2 linked regions of the Xenopus tropicalis genome follow. The protein of the gene in region 1 interacts with the protein of each later gene in a biochemical or structural test. Links are inferred from orthologs where the notes say so. Each region holds a gene or a part of one and is shown in the gene's direction. Other genes may lie near its edges. The genes, in order: cacna1a and cacnb4.

Region 1 (3,924 bases):
ATTCTCATTACATGGCAACTCAGAAACCAATGCAAGAATTTACTAATCAGCCCTTATACAATCCTAGCATCAGCTTCTGGGACACGTGAAACCCCATTTTCTGCTTGGTAGTTTGCCACAACCCCAAGTTTAGCTTCTTAACAGCAGCCCAGAGCACACTGAGCATGTCAAGAGTCATTGACACTTCTAACAGAATCCAAGGTGGGGATCTTCTCTGACACGTTTGAGGGCCTGGATCATTACTACTACAGAGATGCTAAAGCTTTAGGCTGGTGCAATAAGTTCAGTATATTATGGCATTCCTAACTATATTCATTTTTACCGTTTAGTGCTCCTTTAAGTATTAGAAAATAGGAATTTAATCAAGTGAGTAGGGCACACAACTGTCTTGAAACGTTTGGTCCTATTCTCTGTGTCCTGAACACCACAATAAAATTGGGAACACCCCACTTCAAGGTATTGTTGTTCCTTATGATCTGGATATGTGTACTGATGGCAGAGGACATCAACGTTAATGCCTTTACCCCCTTACCATTGCTTTCTATCAGCTCCTCATTAAAGGGGAACTACACCCAAGCACAACTTAAGCTTTTTGAAAAACATAATTTCAAGCAATTTTGCAATATATGTCATTTAAAACATATGCAGTCTTTTTTATGATTTTAAATATAATAATATGGTTTGGAACAGTCCCCTAAGCCCCGCCCCCTGTTCCTCTGCTGATCTGGCTGACTACTTTGTGACTCAAATAAAATGTAAAAGTAGTTGACTGTCCTCAGCCTGCCTTCAGCCTGCATCCTCCCAATCCCACAATCCCCTGCACACGTGATGTCAATGCATTGTGGGTTATGTAGTTCCTGCAGGCTGTCTGTAAGCTGTGGAGAAGTTGTATCAATGTTTTAGTCCCTCCTCCCCTGCCAGGATTTCAAATGACGCAGAAAGAGAAGAACTGGATTTCAGCATAAAAAAATTGTATTTACTCATATTTACTGAAGGAACAGATTACAGTGATAGGTTTATAAGGGGTTTATGTGTTGTGCAGGGATTTTCAACACATTTTGGTTCAGAAGCCAGACTTTAAGATAGTGTAGCACCCAGTATTGTGTTGGTGATGGAGCACATCAAAAATTTACTTCCAATTCCATGATTTAGAGCATTTTATTGAAGTGTTGCATTCCTTAACTACTCTGCCATCTCACTCCTTTTGAATATATGATTTTAGCAACTATCATAGCTAACTGCATCGTACTGGCTATGGAGCAACACTTACCCGTGGGGGACAAGACACCAATGTCGGAACGTCTGGTAAGAGCCTTGACACAATTAAAAGATGGAAATGATGTTTTTTTTCCCCTCTTTATGATGATCAGTGGTGTAACTATAGAGAAAGAGGGTCTGCTTCCCCTATAGCCACTCTAATTGGTGAAGTTATGTGCCTGCTGCTTTGTATTTGCAGAGGGCATAACTTCGGCACGTACTAGTGATGTGCGGGTCGAGAAAACCTTGAGAAAACCTCGACCTGCACTCCCTAACTCTACCCGACCCCACTTCTCCCTTCTGTTAATATACCTGTGCCCCACCCACCCTGCAATGAAGCCACAAAAGGGGTGGGGCATGTTAGGTGCATGCCTATAAATTCACAAGCCAGAAAATGAAGCTGACAGTGTTAGGTCGCGGGCGGAGAGGGGGAATGGAAGAACTCAACCCAAAAAAGCCAGCGAACCGCAAGTGATGTGCCAAGGTCAGCCTGAACCCACCCGCGGGTATCAGAAAACCTCGACCTGCACCCGACCCTAACCACCCACTTCCAACCCTAACCCTACCTGGCCCCATTTCTCCCTTCTATTTATTAACCTGTGCCCCACCCACCCTGCAATGAAGCCACAAAAGGGGTGGGGCGTGTTAGGTGCACGCCTATAAATTCACAAGCCAGAAAATGAAGTGTTAGGTCGCGGGCGGGGAGGGGGAATGGAAGAACTGAATCTGCCTGTGGGGATCAGGCCGGCCCACACACCACTAGCGTATAGGGGCGGCGCTAAGTGCCTGTGCACGCTGGGCCCTTCTAAAGATTTCCTTGAAGGGGGTCCCGATGCATTACCAGTATGCCACTGATAATGATAATGGAAATTAGAGTGTTGTAAGGGTTAATAAAAAATCCCAGCTGGGTTCAACCTTATAAAAATTGTGTTTTAAGCCTTTGCCAGGCCTACAGGGGAAAGGAAAATGATTCCAATGTCAGTTTTCCCACCTTACCTAGAAACAAAATAGTAGAATATTTCTGCCATCTTTCTTCCCTGCTGTCATTTTCACCAGCTGGACCAGTAAAATATTGGCCAGGTGGCAGCACTTTGGGTAGTGCACTGCTGCCAGCTGAGTGTAGCGTCAGTACTGCTGCGGTGCAACTGCAAACAGCACCGCTTTGTGCTTAAAGCTAATGCACCAATACTATGAGGCCTTGTTTAAAACTTCTTATTGCCAGTAGCGATATACCCCAAATTTACCTTCCATCTTACCTTCAGCTCAGCTCTCCTGTTCATGTAAGTGAGATGCACTATTCAGATACATGCACTCTTGCACCCTCAATCCAGGGGTAGCATAGTGTTCATGTGTAATGCCCTGGAAGACATGCAGGGAATTGTGGAAGCAAATTGTGGGGGGGGGGGGGGGCACAAGGAGCTAGGTAAGAAATATCCAACCCGCAGCCCTTTAGTAGTTTATATGGCAAACTGATAAATCTGTACCAGGCTGTAACCTTTTTTCTTGCTTTGCAGGATGACACTGAACCCTATTTTATTGGAATTTTCTGTTTTGAGACGGGGATTAAAATCATCGCCTTGGGATTTGCCTTTCACAAAGGATCCTATTTGCGGAATGGCTGGAATATCATGGATTTTGTGGTTGTGTTATCAGGGTAAGAAATATGAACTATTTGTGTTTTCTGAGTTAAACATTTTATGAAAACCCATTTTTCAACCTAACCCACATAACAAATAAAGGGTAACTTATGCCCTCAAGTGCAGTGTGCAAGGTGCATTTAAAAGGGATAATGTACCCCCTACTCTAAATGATAAGGATATTAGCAGTCACTGAGGGGTTCTGTGCCCATATAAAGGCACAAGGCTGCAGGCTGAGTTATACAGGGAACTCTGAGTATCACCCATGTATTATAAGGGATAATGTACCCCCTACTGTAAATGATAAGGATATTAGCAGTCACTGAGGGGTTCTGTGCCCATATAAAGGCACAAGGCTGCAGGCTGAGTTATACAGGGAACTCTGAGTATCACTCATGTATTATAAGGGATAATGTACCCCCTACTGTAAATGATAAGGATATTAGCAGTCACTGAGGGGTTCTGTGCCCATATAAAGGCACAAGGCTGCAGGCTGAGTTATACAGGGAACTCTGAGTATCACTCATGTATTATAAGGGATAATGTACCCCCTACTGTAAATGATAAGGATATTAGTAGTCACTGAGGGGTTCTGTGCCCATATAAAGGCACAAGGCTGCAGGCTGAGTTATACAGGGAACTCTGAGTATCACTCATGTATTATAAGGGATAATGTACCCCCTACTGTAAATGATAAGGATATTAGCAGTCACTGAGGGGTTCTGTGACCATATAAAGGCACAAGGCTGCAGGCTGAGTTATACAGGGAACTCTGAGTATCACTCATGTATTATAAGGGATTATGTACCCCCTACTGTAAATGATAAGGATATTAGCAGTCACTGAGGGGTTCTGTGACCATATAAAGGCACAAGGCTGCAGGCTGAGTTATACAGGGAACTCTGAGTATCACTCATGTATTATAAGGGATAATGTACCCCCTACTGTAAATGATAAGGATATTAGCAGTCACTGAGGGGTTCTGTGCCCATATAAAGGCACAAGGCTGCAGGCTGAGTTATACAGGGAA
Region 2 (3,824 bases), on another chromosome or scaffold:
AATTCAAAAACTATACAATATAAATAATAAAGACCAATTGCAAAGTTGCTAGAAATGGGACATACTGTAATATACTAGAAGTTAACTTAAAGGTGAACCACCGCTTTAGTTGCAGATGCCAAAAGAGTTCTCCCAGTAGAATCTGCTAACACTAGTTTCAGGGAAGGCCTATGTCCCCTTTAATCATTATAAAGCAGTATTTGCCATATTACCGCTGGTCCCATATAAGGTTTATAGGGTGTCAGACAGGAGACAGCTGCTGGGTATTTATGGCGGGTCTGTGTGCCTTTAGACAAAGCCGGTGGCATTCGCTGTGAGGACGAACGTGAGCTACTGCGGAGCACTGGATGAAGATGTCCCCGTGCCGGGCACTGCCATATCTTTCGATGCCAAGGACTTTTTACACATTAAGGAGGTAAATATAGGGTGAAGGCCTCTGGCCACTGGCAAATAAAATATCGGCGGCAAGACCGCAGCTTGTTAAAGCTAAAAGGGAAACTGACTGGCTGCCAGCGCTTGGGAGGAATTAGCTGATTAACCATTTCCATAGTAGGCGGCACCATGCTCGGTTCTGCTGAATCCTTCTGTGCAGGAGAGGGAATGGTTAAATCCGCACCCTCATAGGTACATTCTTTTTTTTCATCTGCACAACTCGGCTTTTCTAGAATTTATTTATTTTGCTTTATTATAATGTTCAGCCTGACATAGCAATTAAGGGAATATATGGAGTTTCGATTGGTTATAGTTTATTTATAGGTTACAGTCAAAGGGAAATAGAACGATACTGTACTATTGCATAAAGCGCTGGCATGTAATGCTATCGCTTGAATTAATAGGGGGGACGCTGAGCTTTAAATTAAGCACCCTGGTCATTGTTCTTCATGTTTTATCTGCTGTGCTTTTTGCCTTTCTGTTCTGCCCCTCTGCAAAGTCATATCTAAAATGCAACTTGGTAACTGGGGCCAGTGATTTAGACCCTGATATCATACGGGTATTAAGTCTGAAATGTTATTATTGTTGGCTTCTTCATTCTGGCATAAAGAAAAATGCTCAATAAGATCAGTTTGTCTATTATTCACAATGGAATGTAAATTTGTGGGCAAAGCCTGCACTGGCATAACTATAGAGGAGGCAGATCCTACAGGGAGGATAGGGGGGCATAGACTGGGGGGTCTGCTTCATCTATGGTAAGTTGCTAAGTTTAGGTAAATTTAGGGAGTTAATACAGGGGTAGGGGAGATAGCTCTCAGTACAAGTGAGGGAATACAGGGGTAGGGGGGATAGCTCTCAGTACAAGTGAGGGAATACAGGGGTATGGGAGATAGCTCTCAGTACAAGTGAGGGAATACAGGGGTATGGGAGATAGCTCTCAGTACAAGTGAGGGAATACAGGGGTAGGGGGGATAGCTCTCAGTACAAGTGAGGGAATACAGGGGTAGGGGGATAGCTCTCAGTACAAGTGAGGGAATACAGGGGTAGGGGGATAGCTCTCAGTACAAGTGAGGGAATACAGGGGTAGGGGGGATAGCTCTCAGTACAAGTGAGGGAATACAAGGGTAGGGGGGATAGCTCTCAGTACAAGTGAGGGAATACAGGGGTAGGGGGATAGCTCTCAGTACAAGTGAGGGAATACAGGGGTAGGGGGGATAGCTCTCAGTACAAGTGAGGGAATACAGGGGTAGGGGAGATAGCTCTCAGTACAAGTGAGGGAATACAGGGGTAGGGGAGATAGCTCTCAGTACAAGTGAGGGAATACAGGGGTAGGGGAGATAGCTCTCAGTACAAGTGAGGGAATACAGGGGTATGGGAGATAGCTCTCAGTACAAGTGAGGGAATACAGGGGTATGGGAGATAGCTCTCAGTACAAGTGAGGGAATACAGGGGTATGGGAGATAGCTCTCAGTACAAGTGAGGGAATACAGGGGTAGGGGAGATAGCTCTCAGTACAAGTGAGGGAATACAGGGGTAGGGGGGATAGCTCTCAGTACAAGTGAGGGAATACAGGGGTATGGGAGATAGCTCTCAGTACAAGTGAGGGAATACAGGGGTAGGGGAGATAGCTCTCAGTACAAGTGAGGGAATACAGGGGTATGGGAGATAGCTCTCAGTACAAGTGAGGGAATACAGGGGTAGGGGAGATAGCTCTCAGTACAAGTGAGGGAATACAGGGGTAGGGGGGATAGCTCTCAGTACAAGTGAGGGAATACAGGGGTATGGGAGATAGCTCTCAGTACAAGTGAGGGAATACAGGGGTAGGGGAGATAGCTCTCAGTACAAGTGAGGGAATACAGGGGTAGGGGAGATAGCTCTCAGTACAAGTGAGGGAATACAGGGGTATGGGGGATAGCTCTCAGTACAAGTGAGGGAATACAGGGGTAGGGGGGATAGCTCTCAGTACAAGTGAGGGAATACAGGGGTAGGGGGGATAGCTCTCAGTACAAGTGAGGGAATACAGGGGTATGGGAGATAGCTCTCAGTACAAGTGAGGGAATACAGGGGTAGGGGAGATAGCTCTCAGTACAAGTGAGGGAATACAGGGGTAGGGGAGATAGCTCTCAGTACAAGTGAGGGAATACAGGGGTATGGGGGATAGCTCTCAGTACAAGTGAGGGAATACAGGGGTAGGGGGGATAGCTCTCAGTACAAGTGAGGGAATACAGGGGTAGGGGAGATAGCTCTCAGTACAAGTGAGGGAATACAGGGTTATGGGAGATAGCTCTTAATACAAGTTGATCCAGGGACTGGTCCGATTGCCCTCTGCGGCAAATTAGAGAGGCTTCAAAAGGGGTTTTTGCCTTCCTCTGGATCAACTGGCAGTTAGGCAGGTTATATTAGGCATTATGGTTGAATGTGATGGACATATCCTAACATATGTCCTAACATATACCTAACTTACTATGTTACTATGTGCCAGACCCCTCCAAAGATTTTGCAGACTAATTACACTACAGGGCCCATTAAACAATGGAACTATGGGGGGGCAAAATTGCTCCCCTTATGACCCATACATGGAGCATTTGCACCTGTTCCATTGGCAGCTACATACTATGCTCTGTCCCTTGTGCCAGATTAAAATCAGTTGCCAGGCAGAGAATGTAGTTTACTGGGGTACAAGGGAAGCCAGTACTGAATACCTGCCTTTGGCGGCACCCTCTGGTACCCCTACCTTGTGCATCCTGAATGCCATGTAGGGTGGGGACAAACCATACCCATGTGGCATCAGTACTTTATGCAGAGCTGTCAGGCACTTCCAACTCTGCATACATAGGTGGACACAGGTCTTTGTGCTCTGTTTTGGAATTTTAAAACATTTGCTCCTTTTCCCCATAATGGTAAATGTGCCCGATACTGTTTGTCCCTAATATCCCTTGAATGGATCCAAGTGCTCATTATAGAGCAACTACCTATAAATGCGCCTTCCCTCATTGCAGAAATACAACAACGACTGGTGGATAGGAAGGCTGGTGAAGGAAGGCTGTGAGATTGGGTTCATCCCAAGCCCCCAGAGACTGGACTACATCAGGGTTCAGCAGGAGCAGAAGAGAGGACGAACACATGGAGGGTAAATCCCAAGATTCATTTCTACAATAGTAAATTGGCTGCTATGGATAGAAAATAGGCAACGCTTTGTCATATTTTCTTTATAAAGGTGAAAAAAGCTTTTCTCCTAGTTCCAAACACGATATATTTCTTATCTCCAGTTCATCCAATGGCTCAGGTAGATAAATAGAGAAGCCTGAATGGTTCCTAAGATGTGACCTATATAAGGAATATGTATCTTGTATAATTTTCCTATTTATAAATCCCAGTTGGCATTCTGCATT

What was found.
Region 2: the proteins of cacna1a (region 1) and cacnb4 form a complex in vitro, tested with the Homo sapiens proteins (2 studies listed by BioGRID). The link is inferred for Xenopus tropicalis from reciprocal best matches to the Homo sapiens genes CACNA1A and CACNB4.

What each region holds. Positions count from the first base shown.
Region 1 is NC_030679.2:140,775,958-140,779,881, reverse strand, and holds the start of cacna1a (voltage-dependent P/Q-type calcium channel subunit alpha-1A), read left to right. Parts: upstream 1-1,204; 5' UTR 1,205-1,212; coding exon 1,213-1,305; intron 1,306-2,771; coding exon 2,772-2,911; intron 2,912-3,924.
Region 2 is NC_030685.2:75,956,970-75,960,793, forward strand, and holds part of cacnb4 (voltage-dependent L-type calcium channel subunit beta-4), read left to right. Parts: intron 1-292; coding exon 293-415; intron 416-3,431; coding exon 3,432-3,562; intron 3,563-3,824. UniProt on the Homo sapiens protein: The beta subunit of voltage-dependent calcium channels contributes to the function of the calcium channel by increasing peak calcium current, shifting the voltage dependencies of activation and inactivation, modulating G protein inhibition and controlling the alpha-1 subunit membrane targeting.